Linked DNA regions of Anolis sagrei. The protein of the gene in region 2 purifies or fractionates together with the protein of the main gene of each other region. This does not show direct contact. Links are inferred from orthologs where the notes say so. Each region holds a gene or a part of one and is shown on either strand. Other genes may lie near its edges. The genes, in order: NOP58, RUVBL2, EPC2 and NOPCHAP1.

What was found.
Region 1: the proteins of RUVBL2 (region 2) and NOP58 purify together in Homo sapiens (affinity purification with mass spectrometry; 5 studies listed by BioGRID and IntAct, with this or other methods). This does not show direct contact. The link is inferred for Anolis sagrei from reciprocal best matches to the Homo sapiens genes RUVBL2 and NOP58.
Region 3: the proteins of RUVBL2 (region 2) and EPC2 purify together in Homo sapiens (co-immunoprecipitation; 4 studies listed by BioGRID and IntAct, counting the BioPlex papers as one, with this or other methods). This does not show direct contact. The link is inferred for Anolis sagrei from reciprocal best matches to the Homo sapiens genes RUVBL2 and EPC2.
Region 4: the proteins of RUVBL2 (region 2) and NOPCHAP1 purify together in Homo sapiens (affinity purification with mass spectrometry; 4 studies listed by BioGRID and IntAct, with this or other methods). This does not show direct contact. The link is inferred for Anolis sagrei from reciprocal best matches to the Homo sapiens genes RUVBL2 and NOPCHAP1.

Annotation. Positions count from the first base shown.
Region 1 is NC_090021.1:165,264,512-165,272,258, reverse strand, and holds the start of NOP58 (nucleolar protein 58), read right to left. Parts: upstream 3,263-7,747; 5' UTR 3,116-3,262; coding exon 3,071-3,115; intron 1-3,070. UniProt on the Homo sapiens protein: Required for the biogenesis of box C/D snoRNAs such as U3, U8 and U14 snoRNAs. Part of the small subunit (SSU) processome, first precursor of the small eukaryotic ribosomal subunit.
Region 2 is NC_090026.1:28,230,785-28,239,065, reverse strand, and holds the start of RUVBL2 (ruvB-like 2), read right to left. Parts: upstream 3,702-8,281; 5' UTR 3,636-3,701; coding exon 3,621-3,635; intron 1-3,620. Other genes in the region: BCL2L12 (bcl-2-like protein 12), read right to left, coding at 8,047-8,094. UniProt on the Homo sapiens protein: Possesses single-stranded DNA-stimulated ATPase and ATP-dependent DNA helicase (5' to 3') activity; hexamerization is thought to be critical for ATP hydrolysis and adjacent subunits in the ring-like structure contribute to the ATPase activity.
Region 3 is NC_090021.1:206,271,721-206,279,657, forward strand, and holds the start of EPC2 (enhancer of polycomb homolog 2), read right to left. Parts: upstream 3,557-7,937; 5' UTR 3,249-3,556; coding exon 3,096-3,248; intron 1-3,095. UniProt on the Homo sapiens protein: May play a role in transcription or DNA repair.
Region 4 is NC_090025.1:170,239,022-170,246,850, forward strand, and holds the start of NOPCHAP1 (NOP protein chaperone 1), read right to left. Parts: upstream 3,415-7,829; 5' UTR 3,395-3,414; coding exon 3,325-3,394; intron 1,518-3,324; coding exon 1,431-1,517; intron 302-1,430; coding exon 165-301; intron 1-164. UniProt on the Homo sapiens protein: Client-loading PAQosome/R2TP complex cofactor that selects NOP58 to promote box C/D small nucleolar ribonucleoprotein (snoRNP) assembly. Acts as a bridge between NOP58 and the R2TP complex via RUVBL1:RUVBL2.

The DNA.
Region 1 (7,747 bases), on a different chromosome or scaffold from region 2:
ACTGAACAGACCACTCCTGCGTATCTCTCAAACATCAACTTCAAAATTACAAGAAAACTGTCCACAGAGCATCCCTACCTAGTGAATAATGCAACCTGAAAATGCCTTTTTGAGATATCTGTATCAAGTGCAAAATCAATTCTGTTCTAAGCACCATATGTTATTCACCTCTATGTGTTCAGTAGGCATAATTCCCAGACTCACTTTTTCCTCCACTTCCAGCATTATTTTTCAGACGATCTTGCAGTAATCTCATTACATCACAGTTGGATCACTAGCAAAATCCCAATCAAGTAGGTTGCCATACACAAAATCTGTATTTTTGTTTACCTAGCTACTGTATACAAAACAGCATTCCGAGCACAAAGAAAAACTAAAACTAGGTATGGTGGCAGAAATTGATGCAACCTTCTACACTGTCACATAAAATCCAGGTTATTGGCTTTGAATTGGATTATATGGCAGTATACTCATATAATCCAGTTCAAAGCAGGTAATGTGGAGTATCTGCTCTGATATTCTGGACTATATGGCAATGTAGAAGAGGCTAGTGATGATACAAACCATGAGGCCCCATCTTCACTGCCATATAATCCCTTATCTGAATGGCTCCTTCTATATTGCCCTATATTCAAGGTCCTGATTCCAGATCACCCAATTTAATCTGGATTACTGCATGAGTCTCCACTGCCAGATAATTTGGGACAAGCAAATAATCTGGGACCAGATCCTGGGATATAGGGCAGTGTGGAAGGAGCCCTAGTGATTAAGATGGAGGATATAATAAAGTTTCACCCCAGTTAAACAGCCTTGGCGGAATCCTGGGAGTTGTAGTTTAGCAAGCCTCCTCTGCCAAGGAGTGTTAGGCATTCATTAAACTTAAAATCTCAGGACTTCATTGCATTGAGCCATGGCAGTTAAAGTGGGGTCAAGTTACATTAATTCTGCAGTGTAGATTCACCCTGTGAAACCCATGGTTCAAATTTCTACTCTGCCCTGAATTCTACAGCTCATTTTAGAGAACCATATATATATGGTTCTCTAAAATGAGCTGTAGAATTCAGGGCAGAGTAGAAATTTGAACCATGGGTACCATTTGAACCATATATATATGGTTCTCTAAAATGAGCTGTAGAATTCAGGGCAGAGTAGAAATTTGAACCATGGGTACCATTTGAACCATATATATATGGTTCTCTAAAATGAGCTGTAGAATTCAGGGCAGAGTAGAAATTTGAACCATGGGTTTCACAGGGTGAATCTACACTGCAGAATTAATGTAACTTGACCCCACTTTAACTGCCATGGCTCAATGCAATGAAGTCCTGAGATTTAAATTTAATGAATTTATATAAAGTTAGTTTGTTTCAGTTTCTGTCTTACAATAGAGAAGATACATGTACTTGCCTGAGGAGACTGCTAGCTTGAATTAAGACAGTATAATGTACTGCAGACTTCCTCAAATGGTAGCCCTCCACCCATTTGGGCCACCAACTTCCAGAATCCCTCACCACTGAACAAGCTGGATAGGACTTCTGAGGGGTGGAGGGCTGATATTTGAGGAGGCCTGCTGTACAGTGTGCCCTTAGTATGTGTTGGGTCTTTGGTTCCAGAACATTCTGTCTGTGGGTCCTTCCACACAGCCATATAACCCGGAATATCATGGTTGATAATCTACAGTATCTGCTTTGAACTGGGGTTATCTGACTTAACACTGCCGTATAACCCAGTTCAATGTGGATTTTATACAGCTGTGTGGAAGGAGCCCTGGAACAGCAAAGCAGATAATCCACAATCCAGTTTAAAGCAAACCGTATTATCTGAGTTGTTGTAGGTTTTTTCGGGCTGTATGGCGATAGTCTAGAGGCATTCTCTCTTGACGTTTCACCTGCATCTATGGCAAGCATCCTCAGAGGTAGTGAGTTCTGTTGGAACTAGGAAAAAGGGTTTATATATCTGTGGAATAACCAGGGTGAGACAAAGGACTCTTGACTGCTGGAGCTAGGTGTGAATGTTTCAACTGAGCACCTTGATTACCATACAATGGGCTGACTGTGCCTGGAGCAAACTTTTGTTGAGGGGTGATTAGATGTCCTTGTTTGTTTCCTCTCTGTTGTTTTGCTGTTGTAATTTTAGAGTTTTTTAATACTGGTAGTCAGATTTTGTTCATTTTCATGGTTTCCTCCTTTCTGTTGAAATTGTCCACATGCTTGTGTATTTCAATGGCTTCTCTGTGTAGTCTGACATGGTGGTTGTGAGAGTAGTCCAGCATTTCTGTGTTCTCAAATAATATGCTGTGTCCAGGTTGGTTCATCAGGTGCTCTGCTCAGGCTGACTTCTCTGGTTGAAGCAGTCTGCAGTGCCTTTCATGTTCCTTGATTCGTGTTTGGGCGCTGCGTTTGTGTATTATCTGAGTCCATACTGCCATATACTCCAACTCAATGTGGATTTTGTACAGCTGTGTGGAAGGAGCCCCAGAATATAAAGGCAGATAATCCACAATCCAGTTTAAAGCAAACCATATTATCTGAGTCCGTACTGCCATATACCCCAGCTCAATGTGGATTTTATACAGCTGTGTGGAAGGAGGCCTGTAAGAGCAGTGGAACTCTCTGCCTCGGAATGTGGTGAAAGATTGGATGGCCATCTGTCGGGGTAGTTTGATTGTGCTTTTCCTGCATGGCAGAAGGGGGTTGAACTAGAAGGCCAACTCTATTACTCCCTTTGGACACCAAAATCCGTGGATGCTCAGGCCCCATTACATACAATGGGGTCGCAAAATGGTGTGTCCCTGAGATTAAAGGGCAAACCTCCAGGTTTGATTTGGGAATGTTTTCAAAAGGTTGAATCCGTGAATATGGAGGACCAACTGTACTGACTCTGGACATATTATACAACAATACTACTCCCAAGGAAAGCTGAAGTTATTTCAAATTAGTACTGAGGCGGGAAGGGAAAGCCCTTCCCGGATGTAAAGGCCTTCCCTCCCCTCAGACGCCTCTAAAGCTGGATTGCCCAGCCAATTCTACCCGGCCGAGGGAGCACATGGCGGAGGAAGCGCGGCGCTCACCTTGAAAATGGCGTACCCGGCCGCCGTCTCGAAGAGAACCAGCATGGCGGCGCCGGCCCGAAGACGGAGCTCCCCAGGAACAACCAAGAGAGAGCCGGGCGCGCGAGCCCCCGACTGCCAGGTACGAAGCACGCGCGCAAAGAAACAGGCGCACGAGAGCGGAAATGGCGCCTCGCCGGAAATGCTTCTCGCGGGGCCTTCTGGGAAAGCTGCTGAGGGTGGAAGTGGGCGGGGACATAAAAAAAAAAACCCTAAGGGTTACATCTTCATAGTGTCCGACCTTGACGTCGGGTTCTCGAGTCGAGATTCAATACAAACTACTAACAGGACTTTTTTTGTGTATTTATTTAAAGAAAGACATGATCTTGTGAGGGGAAAAAAGCAAATAAATACAAATTTAGCGAAATTGCAGCCACGCTTTGGCGAAGGGCGCTTTTGAGAATAGAGATGAAGAGAGTGGGATTATTCCAAAATTGAGATCCCACGACCTGATCCCAGAATATCTGCTTTGAATTGGATTAAGTGAGTCTACACCGCCAGAAAATCTGGGATAAACAGATAATCTGGGATCAGATCCTGGAATATTGCACACTAGCCGTCCCCTGCCATGCGTAGCTGTGGCCCAGTCTGGTGATCTGGAAAATAAAGTAATAAGAAAGTTACTTTCTCACTACCTCTGAGGACGCCATAGATGCAGGCAAAACGTCAGGAGAGAATGCCTCTAGACCATGGCCATATAGCCCGAAAAAACCTACAACAACCCAGTGATTCCGGCCGCGAAAGCCTTCGACAATACAGGGTTAGTCAAAATGAATAGGCCAATAAGAAAATTAATTTTAGACGAATGTATGTTTATTGTAACCAAACTACAGCTACGTATCGACAGATAAATTATCAAAGTTTTGTCTCACCTTCAGAGATGTTCGATATGGGCGCCCCGTGTGACACGGCAGACGTCCAAGCGATAGTCCAGTTCATTCCACATCCGTTGCAGCACATCTGACGTAATGGCATCGAATGCAGCACATATGCGCTGTTTTAAGTCGTCCAAGGTCAGCGGTAATGGAGGTCGGAACACAGTGTCTTTCACATACCCCCAGAAAGAAAAGTCGCATGGTGTGAGGTCGGGGGACCTGGGGGGCCACAGGAGGAATGGAAGATCAGTCACTCCAGCACGGCCAATCCAACGTCTGGGAAGGTGTTCGTTGAGGTACTCGCATACACTGTTGTGCCAATGCGGAGGGGCACCGTCCTGTTGGAATACGAAATCGGGCACTTTCTCTTCTAACTGTGGCATCAACCATTCAGACAACATGTCAGCGTACACTATGCCTGTTACGGTTTTCTCCGCGAAAAAGAATGGGCCAAACACGTGACGGTTGGTTATTGCACAGAAAACGTTTACCTTCGGCGAATCCCTTACATGTTCCAATACGGCATGAGGATTTTCAGATCCCCAAAAGCGGAGATTATGCCTATTGACCTTCCCGCACAGGTGAAACGTTGCCTCGTCACTGAAGACCAGTCTGTTGGCAAAGCCTTCCTCCTCTAGTCTTCGCTGCATTGATTCGCAAAAATCGTGTCGTTTCGAATAGTCACCTTTTTTCAAAGCCTGCACCATTTGCAATTTATACGGCTTGAACTGCAAACGTTTGCGTAACACGCGCCACACAGTTTTTTGCGGAACGTTCAATTCCATGGCAACACGATTTGTCGACTTCTGGGGACTTCGTTGAAAGGATGCACGAATGGATTCCACTGTGTCTTCGGAGACACGCGGTCGTCCTGTGGTTTTACCCTTGCATAAGCAGCCCGTCTCCTCAAATTGCTTTACCCACCTCGCAATGGAATGTCGATGAGGTGGTTCCTTGCCATACTTGGCTCGAAATTCTCGCTGGACCGTAATTACTGACATTGTTTTAGCAAATGTCATCACACAAAACGCCTTCTCTTTGCCTGATTCCGCCATTTTGAAAACAGCGACTCCTAGCGACGCCTAGCGGCATTAACGTACATGTGTGTTGCTCAAAAAAACTTTGATAGTTTATCTGTCGCTACGTAGCTGTGGTTTGGTTACAGTAAACATACATTCGGCTACAATTAATTTTCTTATTGGCCTATTCATTTTGACTAACCCTGTATAATGAGTAATGATTATAAAGTATATAAAGTATATAAATAAAGTAATGAGAAAGTGTTGGTTTCTAATATATGTCATTTCTTTCTGCTTGTGGGTAAACAGTATTTTATTACGTTTTCTTGCCCTGGTGAAGGGAGTTGGACTGGATAGCCTTAAGTATTTTCTATTGGCCATTTTCTATTGGTTCCGTGTGGGAAGTTTGCCCTGATTCTGTCATTCGTGATGTTCAGAATTCTCTTTGATTGTAGGTGAACTGTGAATCCCTGTTGTCTCCTGCTGCCTTGTTATTAGCAATGCTTCTTAAGGCCCATTCAACCTCACTCCTCAGGATATCTGGTTCTAATTCACTCACCACACCATCAAAGCTGTCATCGATATTATTATCCTTCCTGTACAGATGTTCTGTATAGTCTCGCCACCTTCTCTTGATCTCTTCAGCTTCTGTTAAATCCTTGCCATCTTTGTTTTTGATCATGCCCATTTTTACCTGAAATTTACCTCCGATGTTTCTAATTTTCTGGAAGAGGTTTCTTGGACGTCCTACTCTATTGTCTTCTTCCACTTCCATGCATTGCTTGTTTCAAAATAGTTCCTTATCTCTTCTGGATAACCTCTGGAATTGTCTATGGCTGGATGGCTCTTTGTCAGGAGGACTTTGATTAAGTTTTCTTGCCCTGATGAAGGGAGTTGGATTGGATGGTCTTAAGTATTTTCCGTTGGTCATGAGGGTTTTGTGTGAGAAGTTTGCCCCGATTCAGTTGCTCGTGGGGTTCAGAATGCTCTTTGATTGTAGGTGAACTGTGAATCCCAGTGACTACAACTCCCAAATGTCAAGGTCTATTTTCCCCAAACTCCATCTGTGTTCATATTTGGGCGTACTGAGTGCTTGTGCCAAGTTTGGTCCAGATCCATCATTGTTTGAGTCCACAGTGCTGTCTGGATGTAGGTGAACTACAACTCCCAAACTGTTGGGGTTCAGCCTGAGTTTGAACTTGAACCTGATTCTCTGTTTGTTCCTCCTGATGCTAATGAAAGTATATTTACTGATGCTAGTGGAAATGTACCTTTTGATGCCAATGCTCCTGAAATTAGTGAGGAAGAAACTGCTGTAGGTTTGGAAAATGCCAATGTTCCTGAAATTAGTGAGGAAGGAACTTCTGTAGATTTGGAAAATGAAAGTACCAGTGTTCATGAGAACGTTTCAGAGGGAGACCTTGAAATTTCCCTCCCTTCTTCACCTGCTAACTGTAATGACAACAGAAGGGGCCAAATTTGGGAAGACAGAAGTAAATCACTCAGTTTGCGTCGATCCTCCCTAATTCAAGAATTAAAAACATTGGCTTCAAAAAAGAAGGGCGGTTCACGGAACGAATTCTTGAGTTTTAATTGCACGCCGGGCTGATTGTCTCAGTTCAGGCTTCGTTTCAGAATTGATTAAGACCTTGGCAGTTCTCCCGGTTCCCTGGCCATAGTTTGGGAAGATTCTAGGATATCAAGTACGGTTAGTGGATTGCTAACAGGTTCCAGTATATCCCAGTGAGGCTTTTGGTTTTGCTTTGTCCATTTAAATTAATGTTTGCTGATTTTGCTGTGGCTTTTGACTTGCATTTTTCCTTTATTTTGTAACCATTTTTCTTCAATAAAAAAGGATTGTTTTTCACAGCCAAGTGTGGTGGATAGTAATCTTAGGGCCTCGTTCCCTGCTCTGGATTGCAACACAAACTCAAGGTCAATGCCCAACAAACCCTTTCAATATTTTCTGTTGGTCATGGGAGTTCTGTGTCCCGAGTTTGGCTCAATTCCATCATTGGTGGAATTCAGAATGCTCTTTGGTTGTAGGTGAACTATAAATCCCAGCAACTACAACTCCCAAATGACAAAATCATAATTTTTTGAGTGTGATGGTCACTCCTTGTGTAGTGAGACGTTTTGTTGCCAAATTTGGTGTGATTTTGTTCATTGGTTCTTTTGTTTTTAAGGTACTCATTATGCACAGAGCATTTATATATAGATAAATTATTATTATGAGGGTTACTCCATTTCTTCAGTGTTCCTCATGTCCATCGTAGTAAATCTGGTGGTCATCTGTTATGGAGTGGCCTATTTCAATCCATTTCAGTTCACTGACCCCCAGAATGTCTATCTTTAGTCTTGACATCTCACCAATAACAATATCCAGTTTGCCATGGCTCATAGATCTTACATTCCAGATTCCTAGAGTGTGCTGATCTGTAGAACATCGGATTTGTTGTTCACCTCCAGCACCGTCGGCCCCTAGACTTCCTTTCAGCTTTGAGCTACCTGCATCATCACAACTGGGGCTAGTTGAATTTATCCTCTGTTCCTCACCAGTAGAATTTTGACTATCTTCCAACCTGGGAGTCCCATCTTCCGATGGTATACCGACATATCTCTGGTTGTACTGATCCATTTCGTTTTCATCACAAGAATACTGGGGGTTATTGCCATTACCTTCCCCAGAGATCATATTTAGTCTGACCTCTCTACCATGGCCTTCCAGTCTTGGGTGTCCCTTC
Region 2 (8,281 bases):
AGTGGTAAGAGCATTGGTGTCTAGAATTAATGTCAGATAAGGCTTTTCCGTTCTCTGCAGAATTAATGCCATTTCACCCCAACTGAACTGCCGTGTCTTAATGTTATGGACTCATGGACACTGCAGTTTTACAAGGCCCTTAACCTTCAGTGTCAAAAGATGCTGGTACCTCCCCAAAGCACGATTCCATAGCATTGAGCCATGGCAGTTAAAATGGTGTCAAACTACATTCATTCTAACTCAAACCCATCTTCTTAGGCTCCTTCCACACAGCTGTATTAAATCCACATTGAACTGGATTATATGGCAGTGTGGACTCAGATAACCCAACTCAAAGCAGATATTGTGAATTATCTTCCTTGATATTCTGGGTTATATGGCTGTGTGGAAGGGCCCTTAGATGGTTTAAAACCGGACAGCAGGCTTTACACTTGTGGGTCTACTTTAAATGTTAGTAGCATCTGCAACACTGCTGCTGAGAGTCAAGTGCAAAAGATATATTTTTGGATGAATGAATTCTGAATCCAGAAACTTGATTTTTTTTCCCAAAAGAAATGAACCCACTGATTATCTGAATCCACACTGCCATGTAATCCAGCTCAATGTGGATTTCACACAGCTGTCTGGAAGAGGCCTGGGAGGACTAGACAAGTATACGAACCACTTACGCTATAATATCTTCCTCTTTGGAAGAATCTATTATTATTATTCTGACACAAAAGCACAGTATGTCACAGCAAACGAGATCTACATGCTGGATTTCGTATCAAAAATCACAAATCGAACACTTCCCAAGTGTCTAGGACTGTGTGATGTATTTTCGAATGATGCACACAGATCCAAGTAAGGTGGCCTTTTGTAGTTGATAGATCGTGATTTTGTTGATGTTTATTGTTTCCAAATGCCGGCTGGGATCTTTTGGCACGGCACCCAGTACGCCAATGACCACTGGGACCACCTGTACTGGTTTATGCCAGAGCCTTTGCAGTTCAATTTTGAGGTCCTGAGAGTGGCAGAGTTTTTCCTGCTGTTTTTCCTCAGTGTAACTGTCACCTGGTATGGCGACATCAATAATTCAAACTTTTTTCTTTTCCACAATCGTGATGTCAGGTGTATTGTGTTCCAACACTTTGTCAGTCTGGATTCGAAAGTCCAACAGTATTTTTGCATGTTCATTTTCCACAACCTTTGCGGGTTTATGGTCCCACCAATTCTTTACTGCTGGCAGGTGGTACTTGTGACATAAGTTCCAGTGAATCATTTGGGCCACAGAGTTGTGTCTTTGTTTGTACTCCATCTGTGCGATTTTCTTGCAACAACTGAGGATATGATCTATGGTTTCATCAGCTTCCTTGCACAGTCTACTTTTTGGACCATCAGCTGATTTTTCAATCCAGGCCTTAATTGCATTGGTTCTGATTATTATTATTATTATTATTATTATTATTATTATTATAAAACTACATTTATACCCCACCCTTCTCTCCCCAATTGGGGGACTCAGGGCTGCTTTCAGACCATGGCATACAATGCCGCATTACACATATAAAATATATCAATTTAAACAATTAGCATATCAATTATCAATTAAAACATACGGTACTAAACGTGACATACCAATTAAACAATTCAAATATAAATACAATAAGAAGCTTCAAAGCAAACATTCAATCCCAACCAAAGTGGGCTGATGACATATCAATTAAACAATTCTATCAAAATACAATAAAACATCTTAAAAGTAAACATTTAATCCCAACCAAAGTGGGCTGATGGAATAATAATAATAATAATAATAATAATAATAATACTTTATTTATACCCCTCTACCATCTGCCAAGGGACTCGGTGCGGCTTACATGAGGCCGAGACCACAATACATCAATACAAGCAATAGCAATTACAAAACAAAACAAAATACAAATACTAATACAAAGCAATTAAAATAAATCTCATACACAAAACAGCATAAACATTGAACAGTGGCACAAAACACATTTAAAAACTATGGCTGGGCCAAATGTAATTAAGTTAAAAATAATGCTGGGCATGAACAAGGTAGAGGAGGTGGGGCGTTGGGGAAACGTACAAGCAGTCCTAAATCAGTATAAAGTGCTTTGGAGGACATAATGCTAAGGCAGGGGTCTTCAAACTTTTTAAGCAGAGGGCCAGGTCACAGTCCCTCAAACTGTTGGAGGGCTGGATTATAATTTGGGGAAAAAAATGAATGAATTCCTATGCACACATCTTATTTGTAGTGCAAAAAACCCACTTTAAAGCATTACAATAATTAAAATGAAGAACCATTTTAACAAGTATAAACTTATTAGTATTCCAGTGGTATGTGTGGGCTTGCTTTTGGCTGATGAGATTGTTGTTTTGGCGGGTTGTTGTTGTTGTTGTTGTTGTGTGCTTTCAAGTAATTTCAGACTTAATGTATTGTCGAAGGCTTTCATGGCTGGAATCACTAGGTTCTTGTGGGTTTTTTCGGGCTATATGGCCATGTTCTAGAGGCATTTCTCCTGACGTTTCGCCTGCATCTATGGCAAGCATCCTCAGAGGTGACCCTCACCTCTGAGGATGCTTGCCATAGATGCAGGTGAAACGTCAGGAGAAATGCCTCTAGAACATGGCCATATAGCCCGAAAAAACCCACAAGAACCTAATTTCAGACTTAGGTTGACCCTGAGTGAGGGCTGGGTAAATGACCTTGGGGGGCCATATTCGGCCCTCGGGCCTTAGTTTAAGGACCCGTGTGCTAATGGTTCATTATTCTGTGAAAGCACACTGGAACAACCACGTCTTCAAGCTTCTCCTAAAGACTGCCAGAGTTGGGGCATACTTGATGTCCTTAGGGAGTGAGTTCCAGAGTCGAGGGGCCACCACCAAGAAGGCCCTCTCTCTTGTCCTCACCAATTGCGCTTGCGATGCAGGTGGGAGCGCGAGTAGGGCCTCTCCAGATGATCGAAGAGATCATGTGGGTTCGTACACAGAAATAAGTGGCCACAAGCAGCAGGCAATCTACACAGTAGAATTAATGCTGTTTGACAGCACTTAAACTGCCATGGCAATACTGGGAGTTGTAGTTTGTTGAAGCAGAGAAGTCTAAAGGACTTCTAAAATGACAACGACGAGGATTCAACAGCAGTGGGCTGTGGTTGATAAAGTGGTGTCAAACTGCATTCATTCTACAGCAGGCATGGGCAAACTTGGGCCTTCCTCCAGGTGTTTTGAACTCCAACTCCCACCATTCCTAACAGCCTCAGGCCCTTTCCTTTCCCCCCTCAGCCGCTTAAGCGGCTGAGGGGGGAAAGGAAGGGGCCTGAGGCTGTTAGGAATGGTGGGAGTTGGAGTCCAAAACACCTGGAGGAAGGCCCAAGTTTGCCCAAGCCTATTCTAAAGTATAGTAATACACCTACAACACTGCAGGCCTCTGATAAACTACATAGCCAAAGATAAGAGGTGATGATGGGAGTTACACTCCCAACAAAACCGGGGAATGCTTGCTCTGGCATTCCTCTCACAAGTTAGAAGAAAAAGAAAGTAATCAGATGCTAAACTCGTATAAAAGAAGGATGATCCGGGTATTTTCAAAGGAGGGAAACAAGGCTGTCGCTCACCGACACCGTTGCCATGCTGCTGCTCCCGCCGTCTCTCGCGCCGTCTCTAAGCGGCAGCCGGCCCTGCCTCCTCAGCACCGGAAACAGGAAGCGGCCTCAGCTTTCAGGGCGCTCTGTCCGAGGCAACGTCTATGCTCCCTCAGTCCTCCAGTAGTCCTTGCTGTAGTAATAGTCATTCCAGCTCAGCTGTGTACAAGGTGTCTGTGAAGTCTCTTTACCAGTTTATTAAAAGAGGCTTTAAATGTTGTTATGTTTATTTACCCTGATAATTAATTAATGAGTTAAATATCTAAGAAGCTAGACATAATGCAACCTGTCTAATTATGTTAGAGCAAGCATGGGCAAACTTGGGCCTTCCTCCAGGTGTTTTGGACTGCAACTCCCACAATTCCTAACAGCCTACCGGCTGTTAGGAATTGTGGGAGTTGCAGTCCAAAACACCTGGAGGAAGGCCCAAGTTTGCCCATGCATGTGCTAGACTGCTGGGATTTGACATCCACATTGTTGCCCAGGCCTGCTTTCTCCCTTCTCCAGCTCTGAGAAGGCCCATCTCACAATTTTTCCATGGCAACAGTAGACATACTCTATTTGCAGCTTCCCTCCTTCCTCCATCTACCTCATACAGCTTCTCACCTCTTCATTCTTTCCTCTCTTCCTTCCTTTATCCCTTCTTGTGTCCAATTCTGGGCACCACAGTTTAAGGGAGATATTGACAAGCTGGAATGTGTCCAGAGGAGGGCGACTAAAATGATCAAGGGTCTGGAGAACAAGCCCTATGAGGAGCGGCTTAAGGAGCTGGGCATGTTTAGCCTGAAGAAGAGAAGGCTGAGAGGAGATATGATAGCCATGTATAAATATGAGAGGAAGCCACAGGGATGAGGGAGCAAGCTTGTTTTCTGCTTCCTTGGAGACTAGGACGTGAAACAATGGCTTCAAACTACATGTCCATCTGAACATGAGGAAGAATTCCTGACTGTGAGAGCCGTTCAGCAGTGGAACTCTCTGCCCCGGAGTGTGGTGGAGGCTCCTTCTTTGGAAGCTTTTAAATAGAGACTGGATGGCCATCTGTCAGGGGTGATTTGAATGCAATATTCCTGCTTCTTGGCAGGGGGTTGGACTGGATGGCCCATGAGGTCTCTTCCAACTCTTTGATTCTATGATTCTTTCTTCTCATCCTTTCTCTTTCCTTTCACTTCCTTCCCTCCTTTTTCTTTCACCCTTTCTTTCCTTCCTTTCCCTTCTTTTTCTGCTACCCCACTTTTTCTCTACAAGGAGACTCATGTTCAAACGCAAACACATGTTCTAACTGTTTCTATGGCGGTATATTTCTAGTTATCTACTTCTAACTCTTTGCTTTACTGGGAAATTTATAGTGAACATTGCTATTTTATGACACCATACTTTAGGGTTCTTTCTGCCTTCATTTCAGTTGAAAACCACTTCAAAAAAAGTCCTGTTTAAATATAGTTAGCCATACGATAAATTTTATATGAAAGCATGCACAAAGCAAAAGGAAAACTGATGTGACAAAAGGGGAAATTATCAAGAATGAAGCAACATCTACCAATAAAAGTTTTGAGGATTTTTTTCAGATTAAAATATTTTATTTTAAAATAAACAGTGCTTCAGAGAAGCTTTCGGCATTTCACAGAAACACACCCAAATCCCTGAGTTTGTGGGATAAATTAAGAGATTTGCAGTAAAATTCTGTACATTTTCACACTGTGTTTTCACATTGTTTGTAGCTTGCAAGTACATTTTGAACAGGATACATTTTCCATGTATAGTAGGACCCCCATATCCACTGGGATATAACCGAATGCCATTAAATCACATGACTTCCATATCAAAGCGATGCACTAGAGCAGTGGTTCTCAACCTGTAGGTCCCCAGGTGTTTTGGCCTACAACTCTCAGAAATCCCAGCCAGTTTACCAGCTGCTAGCATTTCTGTAAGTTGAAGGCCAAAACATCTGGGGACTTACAGGTTGAGAACCACTACACTAGAGGATCTAGAGATTCCTATAGAAGAGTAGTTCTCAATCTGTGGGTCCCCAGATGTTTTGGCCTTCAACTCGCAGACATCTTAACATCTGCTAAACTGGCTGGGATTTCTGGGAGTTGTAGGCCAAAACACCTGGCAAGCCACAGGTTGGGAACTACTGCTATAGAAATATAATCTCTAGGAATTCACTAGGTCCTCCAATGCAACCCTATGGTAACTTCCAGGGAAAGCATACTATAGAATCACCTGGAAAACCTAGCAAATTCCCAGAGAGAGACCATTATTCCTCTGCTGTGGATAAGTGAAGCCATGGATATAAGTTCCATGTTTATAGGGATCTTACAGTATTGATTCCACTTTTCAAAAGCTCCCATAAAATCAAGAAAATTAACAAGCAATAAAACAACACAATAAATATATATATATTTAAAAACAGCAAAACAAAGAAAAGTCACACATAGAAACCAGAACTAACTCTTATAAAAAAAAACTTGGGAAAGCAACAGTTGGCACATGTAAAATAAAGTGAGCACAAAAGCCTTACTTTGAGCTACTGCTTATCCTACTGCCATAAAACAGCTTCTAAGGAAAGCCTCAATTTCCAGAGATATTTATCACAGAACAAGGTTGTAATTTAAGGTCCTCTTACATTACAACCCTTTGCATATTTCCTTGAGAATAAGGTAGCATTTGGAAATTAGTTACACAGCAACATATTGCACTGTCCCAAAAAGCAATGACATTTTCATGGGTGAGGAGAGGACTATGTCCTTCCTTTTAATCCTAGAAATCTCAATGTTTCATTTCCTTTTTTTTTAAGTACAGCTTTCCCTAATCTTTTGTCCACTAGATCATCTGAAATGCAACTTGCATTAGCATGGAAAACTTGGCCTATGGTCAAGGAGGGTGGGAGCTGTACAGTCATCCTTTCACATTTGCTGGGGTTAGGCAAAAGTGAAAAATAAAAATAAATGGCTTTTTTAAAACTTCAGATAATACCTCTCTAGGAATTTCGATATCCTCCAGCATGACACTATGTGAACTTTCACTATGTGAAATTGACCATAGAATCGCATGGAAGACCTACAGTTTGTTTTTAGAGAGGTGTTCTCTGTATGACTCTCTGAGGTCACATTTCAAACACAAGGCTTGCGGGCTGAATCTGGCCCACCATGTCCTTTTATGTGGCCCTCCAGAAGGTGGACTACAACTCCTGTATTCCGTACCATGAGACATCATGTCTAGAGTTGATGGGAGTTGGGATACAGCAGCATCTGAAAGGCTGCAGTTTGTCCTGTTGAGTCAGGAGAGTGGAGTTTTAGATACAAGGCCTGTGGATATAATGCCCTTTAACCTTTCCAACCTCAGGGTGACAAGTGCTGTTGGGTTGCAATCTCCATTATCCACAGTCTGTATAGCAGATAATCAAAAGTGATTATAGTTGTTCAATAACATCTGACAACCCAGACTGGGTAAAAACTAAAGAGCACTAACCAATATGTGTGTGTGTGTGTGTGTGTTTGTATATAGATAGATAGATAGATAGATAGATAGATAGTGTTGACACTATATATGAATGAATTCAACACCCATGGATTCAACAGCCCTTTGAAGGCAACCACAAGGCTGATGTGGCCCTCGATGAACCTCAAGGCTGATGTGGCCCTCGAGTTTGACACCCTTGTTCTATGTCAGGCATATGCAAACTTTGGTCCTCCAGGTGTATTGGACTTCAATTCCCATCATTCCTAACAGTCTCAGGCCCCTTCCTTTTCCCCCTACATCTAGAGGGCCAAAGTTTGCATATGCCTGTTCTACGTCCTCCCAACATGACTCTACAGTCAACATCCAACAAAGTTAATCACAGAGTTATACTGGAGGATGGAGAGAATCCTAGAACATTTTAATCAAATCCGCAAATGTCGGATCCACAAACGTGTAGGGCGACTGTAATTCAGATATCTAAAGGGCACCAGGTTGGGGGAATCTGTCGCAGAGAATAAACCAGCACATCTAACAAGTCCTTTTTTTTTTACATTAGCAAAGTAAAATTTCATGCAATTTGTCTGACTCTTCCTTTCTCCTTCATTTAAAGTGTCATCATCAAAAATAAAAACCCAAATTTTACAAGAACTGTCTTGTCTTATATACACAGTTCGTCAAGTAGTGCAATTGTTGATGTCATTCACAACGGATCAATGCCGATTTCTTGATCCCAGAAGTACAGTAAAAGCCAAACTCTACCTAGTGTTCATAAGACAACTTCTTTCCTTGATTGGCTTTCACTTTGGAAGAGGAGGAAGTGGAATCTTTCTTGAGGATTTTTTTAATAAAAAAAGCTAATAGTTCCACCAGCAGTCATTTTTTAAAAACAAAACTCCCAAAGGCTCTTCTGTCTCCCATCTTTGGCACTGATTGAGAACTAGTCGAGCTGCAGGTCAAATATTTCTTCTTGGTTTACAATTTTCTCCTAAAGGGAAAGAAATACATATTATAATTGCCAGTCACTTCCACAGCATCTCAATATAACATATTCTGTGCAGTCTTTGAAACATTCTTCAGTCAGGCAACAGCCCCTTCAATGTAAAAGGAAATCCTGAAATTGGGACCTCGGGATGCAACCTGCCCTGAGGAATTAGCGTCCTTTACAAATGGCA
Region 3 (7,937 bases), on a different chromosome or scaffold from region 2:
TATCTTAACTGAGACATTGCAAAGGTATAACAACAGAAAATAAAAATAAAATCTGAAACACAGATGAGAACTGACAAAAAATTGCTTCTTCACACTTGCAGCACATTCTACACATAGGATTTAAAAATAAAATCCAAAACATTCATAACATGGCAAACTCCACAACTTGAAATGAGAAGAAATTGAAAAAATTGTGTTTACACCTTCAGCACATTGCATGAATTCAATTATCAAGAGGAAATAACTTTATTCAAGACTCAGTTCAGTTCCAACTGCACCAGTGGTCTTTGACAATTAGTTTTCAGGCTGCAATTTTATGCACACATATTTATTTATTTATTTATTTGGGGTTCTTGTACCCCGCCCTTCTCACCCCGAAGGGGACCCAGGGCAGCTTACAACAGCAAGGCACACTTAGATGCCTGCCACACAACAATCATCACAAAAGTACAACAATTCAAAGTTCCCACAATTCAAGCCATTATCCCAATAAAATCGATAAAATCGATAAAAACAATAAGAACAATACAAACCTAATTCTTCCTCCTACCTATCAGTGTACACTAACTCAAAGATCTGTTTTTGATTCCACTTCGACAATCCTGCTGATCTTACACATATATGTTTGGGATTAAGTCTGGTAAAAATAATGATCTGCAAGACACATGTACAGGATTGTGCAAACAATTTTGTTTCAGTTACAGAAAGAAACAATATAAGCAAAGATTGTTTACTAACATGTATAAGCACAAATCACAGAGACAGGACATTTTTATTTGTGTTTTACACAAACAAGCAAAACTACTGACAGTTTAAACTCCCTGTTCCCTATAACCTGAGAATGGAAAGGTACTCCATCAGTGTGCCAATACATATGTGTATTTGTATACAAATACATTTACTGCCTATTAGACAGGTTGTTTCATTAAAATCATATAGAAATACATCAGCGAAACAGTACATGTATTTGTATACATACACACATATTCACTGCCTAGTAGCTGCAACATTGCTTCTTTAAACCCATACAGAAATACATCAAAGCACCAGTATATGTGTGTAACTGTATACAAAAATATCCACTACCTAGTAAACACAACAATGTTGCATTAAAAGTATACACAAATATACCAGGGCACCAGTGTATGGGCACATTTGTATACACACACATTCACTGCCTAACAGACACAACAATGTTGCATAAAATTATACAGAAATACATCAAAGCACCAATGAGTATCTGTATTTGCATACAAACACATCAACTGCCTAATAACACATTGTTGCATTAAAGGTATACACAAATACATTGGGGCACCAGTATATGTGTGCATTTGCATAAAAACATATTTACTGCCTAATAGACACAACAATGTTGCATTAAAATTATAACACAGTGGTTCTCAACCTGTGAGTCCCCAGATGTTTTGGCCTTCAACTCCCAGAAATCCCAACAGTGGTAAACTGTCTGGGATTTCTGGGAGTTGTAGGCCAAAACACCTGGGGACCCACAGGTTGAGAACCACTCTTAGAACAAAACACTTCAAAGCACCTGTATATGTGTGCATTTGTAAACAAACACATTCACTGACTAGTAAACACAACGGCATTTCATTAAAATCACATAGAAATGCATGAAAACCCCAGTGTGTGTGTGCATGTGTATACAATCACATCCACTGCCTAGTTAACACAACATTGGTGCATTAAAAGTATACACAAATACACCTGGGCACCAGTATGTGTAAATTTGTATACAAACACATCCACTGCCTAATAGACAGAACAACACTGCATTAAAATTATAAATAATACTTCAAAGCACCAGTGCATGTCTGCATTTGTATATAAATATATTCACTACCTAGTAAACAGAATGTTGTTGCATTAAAAGTATACACAAATATACCAGGGCACCAGTGTATGTGCACATTTGTATACAGCACATTCACTGACTAGTAAACACAACAATGTTGCATGAAAATCATAAAAGGCATCAAAGCCCCAGTGAGTGTATACAAACATATTTACCGCCTAGTAAACACACAACGTTGTTGCATTAAAACTATCCAGCATTTGTATACAAACACATTCCCTGCCTAATAGACTCAACGATCACACAGAAATGCATCAAAGCTCCAGTGTGTGTGTGCATGTGTATACAAACATATCCAATGCCTAATAGACACAACAATGTTGCATGAAAATCATATATAAATGAATCAAAGCTCCAGTGTGTGTGCATTTGTATACAAACAAATCCAATGCCTAATAGACACAACAATGTTGCATGAAAATCATAAAATGCATCAAAGCCCCAGTGAGTGTATACAAACATATTCACCGCCTAGTAAACACAACGTTGTTGCATTAAAAGTATCCACAAATTCACGGGGGCACTAGTGTATGTGTGCATTTGTATACAAACACATTCCCTGCCTAATAGACTCAACGATCATACAGAAACGCATCAAAGCCCCAGTGTGTGTGTGTGTGCATTTGTATACAAACACATCCACTGCCTCATAGATACAACGAGGTTGCATTCCGATCCTGTGGAAACAGGACGTAAAAAACCACCTCACTTCCCTAAGGCCTGGCTACTTTTAAACTTTCACAAGCCGGCGTCAGCATGGACACAACAAGCAAGCAAGGAAGCAGGCAGGGCCTTCTGCATCAAGATTCGGCGAGGAGCCGGGGCTGGAGGCCTCGCGCTCTCCGCCAGCAGCGCCCGGCGCGCTCTCTTTGCTATTCAGGGCCTCTGCCTGCGCTGCTCTCCTCTTACGGCAGTAGCGCGAGGGCCCCCCCTCCCCACCTCCGCTCATCAAAACACTCCGCCAAGAAGATGGCGGAGGCAGGCCCGGCTTACGGTGCCGGAGCGGGGCTTACGCTGCGCCGCTGGCGTAGGACCCCATAGGGAGCGCGCGCCGCAGCGGCGGGGAGCGTGCGTAGCGGCGCTTGGTGAATGCCAATGGCCTCCTTCCCCCGCGAGGGGAGGGAGGGGGAAAGGCCTGATAAACAATGGCGGCGGCGGCGCACTCCAGCCCCCCCCCCCCAGCCCCAACCCCAGCCCCTGGCCCTCAGCCCTGGCTCACCGATTCCTCCTCCTTCTCCATGCCGGTGGGCATCTGCGGCACGGCGCGGTTGATGGAGACGCAGTCGTTGAGGTCGGGCATGTCCTTGCCGCGGTAGATGGGCAGCGGTTTGGCGGCGTCTAGCGCCCGGGCGCGGAAGGAGAGTTTGCTCATGGTGTCGCTCCCTCACAACCAGCACCCGGAGGCAGGCAGGGAGGGGGGGGCGCGGAAGGGAGGGGGGCTGCGCTACGACGACGGCGGCGCCGCGCCCGCCTCCTCCGCCGCCTCCTCGGCCTCCTCCGCCGCCTCCCAGCCGCTCCCGGACCCGGCCCGACACACCATGGAGAGCCCCGCCGCCCAGAGCCGCCCGCAGCCCTAGCTCCGCGCTCGACCCGCTCCCTGCGCCATGGCAAACATGGCGGACATTAACCAAAGCGGCCAGCGATCCCGGCAGCCAACGCGAGAGCGAGAGCGCGAGACACACACACAGAACGAGAAGGAGAGGGAGAGAGAGCGCGCGCGGGCGGAGGGGAGGGGAGGGGGCGCTCTCCGAGGAGGAGGAGGAGGAGGAGGAGGAAAGAAAAAAAAGAGAAAGAGAAGGAGAGAGGGAGGGGGGACTAGAGGAGGAGGAGGGGGGGGAGGGTGCGCGCGCAGCCTTGCCTCGCGAAGGGGAGAGAGAAAGGGAAGGCTGGGCGAATGAGAGAGAGAGAGGCTGGAGGAATTAAGGGGAATGGACCACACTGGGATGCTCCCAGGGAAAAGCCATTAATAACCATTGCACACTGTATATCTATATATATTTGTGTGTGTGTGTTTACCAAAGACACTTTCAGACTCAAAAAGTAAATGTTAATTTAGCTCTATATGTGTTTTTGAGTTATGTTAATCCCACAAATGAACATTACATTTTTATTTATATAGACAAATTAACATTTACTTTTTTTTAGTCTGAAATTGTCTCTCCTACACACACACACACACAAATAAATAGACATATATAGATATGGTGTGTGCAATGGGTAGTAATGTGGGGGCACAAATCTGGACACAAGGCACCTATCAGGCCAATGAGTGACCACCACTCATAAAAACACTGAAAAACACAGCAGAAGAGACTTAAAAAAAACATACAATGCATGCACAAAACCACATATATACACAAATACACAGACAAAACACATACACAGACTGGGCAACAGCAACGTGTGGCAGGGGATGGCCAGTATGTAAATAAACACACACACACATATATATATGAGAGAGACTCTAAAAAGTATATATATATATATATATATATATATATATATATATATACACACACACACACACACATACACTCATGAGATACACTTTCAGACTAAAAGAATAAACACACACACACATATATGAGAGACTCAGACTTAAAAAGTAATTAATATATATATATATACACACACATAATTGAAAGACACTGTCAGACTAAAAAGTAAATACACACACACATATGAGGCACTCTAAAAAGTAAATTTTATATACATATATATATACACACATATAAATGAGAGTCACTCTCAGACTAAAATGTAAATACACACACACATACATATATATACATGAGACACTCAGTCTAAAAAAGTAAATATACACACTCACGTAATTAAGAGACAATCTCTGAGAGTCTAAAAGAGTAAATACACACACACATATATGAGAGACACTCAGTCTAAAAAAGTAATATATATACACACACATAATTGAGAGACACTCTTAGACTAAAAGAGCAAATACACACACACATATGAGAGACAGTCTAAAAAAGTAAATTATATATATATATACACACACACACACAACTGCGAGTCACTCAGAGGCTAAAAGTGTATACACACACACATATATGACAGACAGTCTAAAAAAGTAATTATATATATATATATATATATATATAATTACTTTTTTAGACTGTCATATATGTGTATATATATAAACACACACACATATACAGTATATATATAAACACACACATAATTGAGAGATACTCAGAGAGACTAAAAAAGTAAATGTATACACACACACACACACACACACACACATATATATATGAGAGACACTCTCAGACTAATATATATATAGATTGAGCCATGGCAATTAAAGTGGTGCCGAACTGCATTCATTCTACAGTGTAGATACACTCTTTCATTTATTCTCATAAAATTATACTGAAACAAGTGTTGAATTATTTGCCATCTGCACACGAGCCTAGCATTTTAAGAAAGGACTTATCTATCTCTGATATTTCTTAAAGTGGAAGAGTGAGATAAAATTTCACATTTTATCTCAGTTTTGTAATATTGCGTGATACACAGTGAATAGATCTTAAAACAAGCCATTGGCCACAGTCATTGCCATCAAAGGAAAATAGACATGGGGGTTGAGGATTGATATGGACAGAGAACCTCGACAAACGTGGGTTGCTGGAGCACTATTTTCAGCCAAGCCGAACAGTATGGTCTGTTTAGCTTCATGAAGGTTGCATGAAGGTTGCTTGACAAAAAAGAAGGGAGACAACATCAGAATGATAACCGAGGACACTAAATGGGTGAGATGCAGAACAATGCGGGGGGAAAGCAAAGTGTGGGTATTGTGGTATGTGCTCTAGTGACAGCTCAGAAAACTACTCTCAAAATAAATAGCTATGCTTCTGATTCAAATATCAAATTTAGTTGTCATAGCTTTTTTAAAATTTATAAGTAACTCCTTTTGATTGAAAAAACATTTTCAATCAAACTTTTTTTTAGTTTATGTAAAGGTAAAGGTTTCTCCTTAATATTAAGTCTAATTGAGTCCAACTCTGGAGGGTAGTGCTCATCTCCATTTCTAAGCCAAAGAGCCGGCGTTGTCCATAGACACCTCCTAGGTCATGAGTGCATGAAGCACCATTACTTTCCTATCTATTTATTATGCTCACATTTGCATGTTTTTGAACTGCTAGGTTGGCAGAAGCTGGGGCTAGCAATGAGAGCTCACCCCATCTTGCGGATTCAAACGCCAACCTTCCGGTCGGCAAGTTCTGCAGCTTAGCGGTTTAACCCGCTAAGCTGCTAATAGACTTTTAAGGTGTAGTTTTATTTTAACTACACCTTAAATTCCCACAAATTATGTCTTGAAATATTTGATAGGAACTACCAGGATTTTCTTGACAAAATTCATTGGATGGAGATTTGCCATCTTCCTCCGAGGCTGAGATTTGCTGCACATTAATAGGAAGGTTTTCATTATTTTCCAAAGCACTTTTCCAATACCAAAACCCTTGCTCCTAGCAATGTCTCTCAACACTTAAATACTCTCTAACAAGTAAATATTATCAGTTACTTTAAGCATCTGGATGCTACAAGCTGATGTCCTTTGGGACAAAGTGCACATAAATAGCCCAAGGCAGATTTAAAAATAAATGCACATAATAGATAGAAGCTTTTAAAAATCATGCAATTATTATGGACATTAAATCCACATAGATAGATAAATAGATAGAGATAGCAAATGTGTGTTTTGCTGAAAAGTTAGGGTGCATATACATTGTAGAATAAATGCAGTTTGATACCACTTTAATGTCCATCTCTCAATGCTATCGAATCCTGGGAATTGAAGTTTGGTGAAGCACTGCCGCTCTCGGGCAGAGAAGGCTAGAGAGCTCGTAAAACTACAACTCCCAGGATTCCGGAACAATGGGTCTTGGCAGCTAAAAATGATGGTGGCAAACTGCATTCATTCTATAGTGGCCACTGGACAGAAAGACACACAAAGTAGTGCAAGAAGAAACCTCTGAGGATGCCTGCCAAAGAATGCTACTACAACATGGACATACAGCCCGAAAAAAGTCTGTTGGAAACTAGGAATTTATATATCTGTGGCATGTCCAGGGTGGGAGAAAGAACTCTTGTCTGCTTGAGACAAGTGTGAATGTTGCAGTTGGCCACCTTATATTAGCATTGAATAGCCTTTCAGCTTCAAAGTCTGGCTGCTTACTGCCAGACAAGGGAACAATTGACTGCATAGGAGAGCTGATAAAGAAACACAAACTACAAACGGTCTACAGACTCATTAAGAAAAATCCAACAGATGCTTCATTCAGCAAAGGACAAGAGGGATCCTCTCACTTCTGCAGAAGTCTACCATATACCATGCAGTTGTGGACAAGTCTACATAGGGACCATTGCCCAAACATTGCAGCATTGCCCAAACACGAATCAAGGAACATGAAAGGCACTGTAGACTACCTCAAACAGATAAATCAGCCGTAGCAGAGCATTTGATGAACCAACCTGGACACAGCATATTATTTGAGAACACAGAAATACTGGGCCACTTGAACAACCACCATGTCAGACAACACAGGGAAGCCATTGAAATCCACAAGCATGTGGACAATTTCAACAGAAAGGAGGCAACCATGAAAATGAACAAAATCTGGCTGCCAGTATTTTTTTTAAAAAAAAACAACCTCCAAAATCAGCGCAGTAAATAAAGAACAACACTCAGAAAATATAGGAATTCCAGACACAAATCAGTCAGGGCCAGCTAACACCTCTCAATAAAGGATTTCCTCGGGCAGCAACCAACCAAGCCTTGAAGCTGAAAGGTGATTTAATGCTAATCAAGGTGTCCAATTGTTACATTAACACTTGCCTCAAACAGACATGAGTTCTTTCTCTCACCCTGAATATATAAACCCTAATTACCTCGTTTCCAACAGACCTCACAACTTCTGAGGATGCCTGCCATAGATGCAGGTGAAACATCGGGAGAGAATGCTTCTGGAACATAACCATACAGCCTGGAAAATTCACAGCAACCCAGTGATTCTGGCCATGAAAGCCTTGGACA
Region 4 (7,829 bases), on a different chromosome or scaffold from region 2:
AGGTTTAGATTTGAGGTAGCTATAAGGCAAGCAGTCATTCGTTAGATAGCATACACTAAAGAATTTGAGATGCAAGGCGAATTATTTTTCAACATTGTAAAAAAAGTGAAGCATTCAAAGACAAAGATTTGGGTTACAAAAATAAAAAAAACTAATACACTCACCATTTCAATTACATTTTCAGTAGAAGGATCTAGGTGTTCAATATCAAACTCTTCAATGGATGTGCTGTCCATTTGTTTCCTTAGCTTGTCATTTGCACTGGCCATCTGTGGTAGAAAGGTCTGGACTCTATCCAAAACTAAAATATGAAAAAGTGTTTGTAGAAATATTAATGTACTTCTGTGTAGGAAAAGTGGGCAGAGAATTTACTCTATTTGTATCCTGCCTTTCTCTACCCCGAAGGGGACTCAAGGCGGCTTTACATATGGCAACTATTCAATGGCTTTGAATAGTTAAAATAAATTTAAGTTAAAAATTAAAATTAAATGCACATTAAAACATATAAAACATTGCATTCACTATTAAAATCACCCCATCCCCAAATCATAATCCGGGGCCGTTCCAAAGATCCACTGCACATATTTTGAGTATTGTAAAGTCCATAATCTATTGGAAATTCCAGTGCACCATAACCTCATTGCAAAGGTAGATATGATGTTACCTCTGTTTGGCAAAATCTCCCTGAACATAGAGATCATCTAAAAACCACAAGTCAAGTATGGTGGGCCTTGTTAGAAGTCAACCCTTAAGACAATTCATATTCATAAAGTATTAATGTAATAGCACATACAAGTTGCTCAGCTGTTAAACTGAGATCCACGTCTTTAAACGACCAAGAATAAAGACAGGCCACTACAAAAATGTATCTGGTTAGCAGAGGATGGTTGTTTGAAGTAGAATTTGCAATTGTAATTGCGGTTGCCTAAAAGATATACACGCCCTTAAAACATGTACTCAAGAGACAAAACAGTCTTATTTGAAAAATAACATATCTTGTTTACTAAGAAACTTGTATATATTCAGTATACAAAAACATAGTCTTTTAAGTGTCTTTAAGTATATCTGTACTTACTCAAATCCATGAGCACACACATCCACCTCCAATGAGGTCTGAAACCAAACTTATCGCATTGAAGTCCATAAGCATACATCTACCTCCAAAAGAAAACATTCACCTTCAATGTTCAAAAGCATACTAAACACAAAATTGAGTCCTGAGTTTGCACATGCTCAGTATAACCACATGTATAACTCCTCCCATATCAAAGAGGTCAGCCAAACTGGAAAATCAACATACACATAGAATACAGGTTAACAATTGTATACATTAACAAACAGTTAGTGGAGGCTTGGAAGGTTGCTATTTCCAACATTGAGGCTATTATTGCACTACAGATGAAACATCCTTAATGATGTTCAGTACTTACTATTGCTCCTTGGCAGTCTGGCTGTCTGTAAGCTTGTGGCTTTCTTTTTAGCATGATTTGAATTGAGCAGCAGTCTCTTATGAATACCTGTAATCCAGAAACTTCACATCAGTTGAGTAGGCACACACTGACTGTACTATTTGTACGTGTGTGTGTGTGTATGGGGGGGGGGGGGGGACTTTACCATATTGCAGATAAGCTAGTACACTAAATGTATTTGTCACATAGCCCCCATCTATATAGACCATTTAATGCAGTTTCAAACAAGTTTTTGAAGGAAGTGCTTTGGCTGTGCACACGAACTCCCTCCCCAGTGAGATCAGATCAGCCTCCTCCCTCCTGGTATTTAGGAAAAAAGTTAAAACTTGGTTGTGTAAGCAAGCAGGCATTCGCTGAGTGACAGAATTGCAGTATAACATTTAATCATGATACAGATATAAATGAAACAGCCAAATGACGACTATAGGATTGGTGTAATGTTCAATATATTTTATGATGTTTTAATATCTTTAATATGTTTTAATATGTTTTAATGGTTTTAATTTGTATTTATATGTCTATTGATTATGTTATGTACTGCTTCCCCCCCCCCCCCCTTATGTATTATGTGGCATTGAATTTTACCAAACTGTAAGCCGCTCTGAGTCCTCTTCAGGGTGAGATGGTGTGGGACAGAAATATAGTAACTAAATAGTAAACAATACATATGAAATTCTGGAATCAGTTTGAGGTCTAGATGGCGATTATGCAAACTGATGTCCATTAAGGGCTTTCTTTTACATGCTTTCATGGGTGTTTCTTGCTTGGCTGTTGCAGTTTGATGCTAGCTTCCGAATGAATTAAATTGTCAGTGTAGATGGAGCTATACTCCATGCAGCACTATTTCGTGATATTTGAATACTACAGGTAATAGTAGTGCAGCACTGAAGGTACAATTCATTTTCATGTATCTGAAATATTACTAAACAGTACACTCTCTAATATAAGTAATATCCATATTTTATTATTTTATTCATTTATATCTCTTTGCCCCTCTAGGGCTCAAGATGCCTTATGAAAGTGTTAATAGAAATAGTTAAAAGTGCACATAACAGAAAAGTTTAACAGCAACAAATATAGACAATACAGCACATTATTCAAGGCCATGAGGAATATGTGTATTACAATATGAAAAGACATGTACAACTTCCCAGTGGCGCAATGGGTTAAACCTTTGCACAGGTTTAAATCTGGGGAGAGCGTGAGTGAGCTCCCTCTGTCAGCTCCAGCTCTCCATGCTCCCACAAGGAAATACAACATCAAAACATCCAGGCGTCCCCTGGGCAATGTCCTTGCAGACAGCCAATTCTCTCACATGAGAAGTGACTTGTAGTTTCTCAAGTAGCTCCTGACACAAACAAAAATTAAATGTATAAGACTTCAGTTGCCCTCTACACCAGGCATGGGCAAACTTGGGCCCTCCAGGTGTTTTGGACTTCAACTCCCACAATTCCTAAGAGCCGGTAGGCTGTTAGGAATTGTGGGAGTTGAAGTCCAAAACACCTGGAGGGCCCAAGTTTGCCCACGCCTGCTCTACACTGTAGAATTAATGCAGTTCGATATAATTTCAACTGGCTCAATGCTATGGGATAATGAGAGTTGTACTTTGGTAAGGCACCAGGCAGAGAAGGCTAAAGGTTTGCCAGAGAAGGCTAAAGATCTCGTAAAACTACAACATCTCCTGATTCCATAGTATTGAGCCATGGTAGTTAAAATGGGATCAAACTGCATTAAATTCTACAGTGTAGAGAGGGCACCAATAGCTGTAAAAGCAGGATACTGAGTAATGAAGCCAAAGGAATGGAAAAGGGTGAGAGCCAATATGCAGGATGCTTTCTCCCTCCACCTCAGCTACCTCCTCGGCTCCCCACAGAAAGGAGGTCTTGGGACACCTTCAGTGGCACGCTGCCTTCTTTGCACGCCATTCGCCTCCTCCTCTTCCAAATGAAACCGGAACAAGAGAGAGGAAAGCAGAAGGGAGCAGCACAAAGCAATCTGGAGGCTTCTGTGGTAGCGCCACCTACAGGACAACGAGGTTATTGGATGGCTACGAGTCTAATCTATCTATCTATCTATCTATCTATCTATCTATCTATCTATCTATCTATCTATCTATCTATCTATCTATCTATCTATCTATCTATCTATCTATCTATCTATCTATCTATCTATCTATCTATAAATGCTCTGTGTATAATGAGTACCTTAAAAACAAAAGAACCAAATTTGGCAACAAAATGTCTCACTACACAAGGAGTGACCATCACTCAAAAAATTATGATTTTGTCATTTGGGAGTTGCAGTTGCTGGGATTTATAGTTCACCTATAATCGGAGAGCATTCTGAACTCCATCAGCGATGGAATTGAACCAAACTTGGCACACAGGACTCCCCTGACCAACAGAAAACACTAGAAGGGTTTGGTGGGCATTGACCTTGGGTTTTGGAGTTGTAGTTCACCTACATCTAGAGAGCACTGTGGACTCAAACAATGATGGATCTGGACCAAACTTGGCACGAATACTCAATATGCCCAAATATAAACACAGATGGAGTTTGGGAGAAACAGACCTTGACATTTGGGAGTTGTAGTTACTGGGATTTCTAGTTCACCTAGAATCAAAGAATATGCTGAACCCCACCAACAACAGAATTGGGGCAAACATCCCACACAGAACCCCCATGACCAACAGAAAATGTAGCCAGGGGGAGGGGGGGCTTGAAGGGCTTCAGCCCCCCCCCCCCCCGAAATTCTCATGGTGGTTCGCGAAAAGGCCTTACTGGTGCATTATTTAAACTGTTATGTTTATTCATATCATGATCTGATCGCCATACTCAATATATCCCATATGTATGGGGGTATTGGGGTAATGATACAAAAGGTTTGCTAGGCTAGACCCTCTTTCACTCAGACTCAGCCCCCCCCCCAAACTCAGCCCCCCCGAACCCCCCCTGAAAAAAAATTACCCCCCCCCCCCGAAACGAAATCCTGGCTACGGGCCTGCTTGTATCCCACCCTTCTCACCCCGAAGGGGACTCAGAGCGACCTTACAAAGGCAATGATTCAATGCTACACACACATATATATTGATAAATACATATATATATATATATATTGATAAATAAACTATTCATTAAAATAAAAAACAATTAAAAACATCAACATTAAAACATCAATTAAAATCACACAAGCCAAGTCATACTCTAGGGCTATTCTATTCGTCATTGTGTTATTTTGTAATCTCTTATCGCACTGCTCAAATTTACTGACCAAAGGTTTGGTCCCAAAGCCATGGTTTTCGTTTTTTCCTGAAGGTCAAGAGGGAGGGGCGGATCTAATCTATCTGGGGAGAGAGTTCGATGAACGAGAGGCCACCACTAAGAAGGCCCTGTCTCTTGTCCCCACCAACCTAATCTGGGAAGGAGGTAGAAGATAAAATGTGACTGTTTCTTAGTTGTGCATATTCTATTGAACATATGCATTTCATTTTCATCTGATTACACTAATTTGTTCTCTTTTGGCCAGCAAGCTCAGATCTTACTAAAATATTACGGGTGGGGTGAGGAGGTTTGAATCCAAAAGGAACATTAAAGTGCAGAGAAGACAAGATTGTTCTTTGCACAGATTTTTATACTATCATAGGATAATAGATTCAGAAGAGATTGCAAGGGCCATCCAATCCAATCTGCTGCCATGCAGGAAAAACACAATCAAAGCACTATATTCATGGTCCAATCCTATGCTTTTCTACTCCAAAGTCTCATTGTTTAATTAAATTTTCATAAGTATTATTATTCAAAATAAAATAAATGAAAATTAAATTTATTTTGAGACTGAAGTGTAAATCAGATATAAGTATGCATGGGTACTCATTGTAGGAAAGGTCTCATATGAAAATGTGTGCTGGTACGGCTGTACCAGGAGCTCCAACTTTATTTCTTTCTCTTAAAGTTTGCAGTTATAGGGCAGGCATCCTGTCCATCTTAATTAAGCTTTGGTTCCGCCCCTTGTTCAGGCTTCTGGGAGGGAAAGGAGCCATTTTGGGCAGTCTCACACAAGGTAGCTAAGCTATAGGACGTAGACCAGCTCGTCCCATAGAAAAGCTTCCTTTCTTAAGAGCATCCAGGGAAAAGGAACATTCAGGGATACAGAAACAGAAATTCCAGGGGAAAGGTCCCAAAGGCTCTGGCTGAGCGCTCACAGCCTCTCAGCCCCACAGCATCAGAGGGAAACAGCCCTGAAGTTCTCAAAGAATTCTCGGAGGGAGGATAACATTACAGATCCACTGAACTCCAGCTGAAATATCTTCAAGCTTTGGCTGGTAGGTCTACTTGATACCCAGACGCACTTGTATTTGGTAGTAGCACCCACACCAATGAGGCATAGATAGAAAGCAGCCTGTGAGAGGTTAAAAGGGGTTTTTCCTACAGAGAAGGTTCAGTTGATCAAAGTCAGGTACCAGTCCAGACCAGACTGGACTAAGAAAGCCTTGAAGTGTTATTTGAACCTTTGAAGATTTGTTGTTTGTTCCATAATAAAGACTTTGTTGTATCATTAAAGACTCTAAAGACCATCACTTCAGAAAAATCCCTGAGAACTTCTCTTTGAGGCCCCCTGGCTTCCCGCTGGGCTTAAAGTATATGTCCTATAGAAAAGTACAGCTGTTACAGGCCCAGCGCACAACAGAACAAAATGTCTGAAAGGTATTAAAAGATATTAAAAAGATCTGATTTAGCAGATAATTGTTGTGCCACTACTACTACTATTATTATTGTTCTTGTTGTTTGCTTAGCTTTATCCCACCTTCTCTTGATATAGAGACCCAAGGGGCTATTATATTTAAAAAAATTATATACATGTGCTGAAGTACTGTTTAAAAAAGCATTTTCTTCCAGTGGTCATCAAAGCTGTTTATGATTCAAATCCATTGCTGATAAGGTTTTTTATCATGTCAATGCTTTTACTATAGTTTCTTCATCTCGTTCCATCATTTTAATTATTTTTAATTTTATTGCAATTCATATTTATGTTTAGATATGAGCTTTATTTTAGCACAGAAAAATTGAATTAAGGGTGGAAGAGGTAGATTCATGATGTCACGGTCCTATCAGCTTGTATTACAGGTGTATTTTCTGTAAACGCACAGAACCGGTATTTCTTGTGTTTGACTGCAGAGATAAAAGTATTTACATTCAGTCTAACAAAGTGATAGCATATGTTCTGTAGCAAGAGTGGAAAGGGGAAATGGCTCTTTTAGTGGTTGTATAGAAGAGGAAAGTCCAGCAGATGTTACTTGATACGCAACCAGATTACAAGCAGTTCCCTATTGACATTCCCTATTCTATACAACCTTTGAAAGAGAAGAGACTATTGCTAGTGTTCACTCTGGCAGTCTTATCCCACAAAATAAACCTCATTTACTTCGATAGGACTTATTCTCTGGCCAGTTGGGAGTAAAAGCCATTAACTTTGATGGGATTAATTTATCATTAGACATGCACAGAATTATATTACAAGAGTTCCTTTGTAGCTGAAAGACTTTTATCAGTCAAGATACTCATAAAGTTCCTTTTCCAAAAATGAAACTGTAAGAGAGATAACTTAAATACAATAAAGTGCAGAGTAACCAGAAAACTTCAAGCTATTTTGAAGCTCTGTTCATAGAAAAGAAAACCCCTGCTTGACTCAAAACTCAGGCAGGTAAGTAAATCATATTAGTGAAAGATATGAAAATTTGGAAGTGATAACATTTCTTGTGTTGCAGCAAAAATACAACGAAGAGGCTCAGGCTAACTGGAAAGCGTTTAAGTTTATTTTTTTAAATTGAGTAATTTGGAGTCAGAGGAGGTAAAGACAATTCCCAAATTACACTGACTCCTCGATTATCAAACAAGATAGACTCTTATAGTCTTTTGCCAAGCGTGGTACAGAAGCAAAAAAAAAAAAAAAACCCAAAAAAAACGCAACCTCAAAATTAACATATCTGGGGCCCCTTCCACACAGCTGAATAAAATCTCGCATTATCTGCTTTGAACTGGACTATATGGCAGTATGGACTCAAATATCCCAGTTCAAAGCAGATATTGTGAGATTTTCTACCTTGATATCCTGGGTTATATGGGTGTGTGGAAGGGGCCTGGCCTTTGAGTGGTGGCCTCCTCTCTGCTATTACCCTTCGTAATTCTAAAATTAGCTAAAACCACAAATGTTCAGTCTACAAAAATAGGATATATGCCAAACCACAACTTCACAGGTACATCTTTATCTATACTTTTACATTTTTTGTGGCTAGACTGCTTGTCTAGCACAAGAACATATTTTTAGACTTGTATTACTATGCTGAGGAAAAGCTAGAAGAA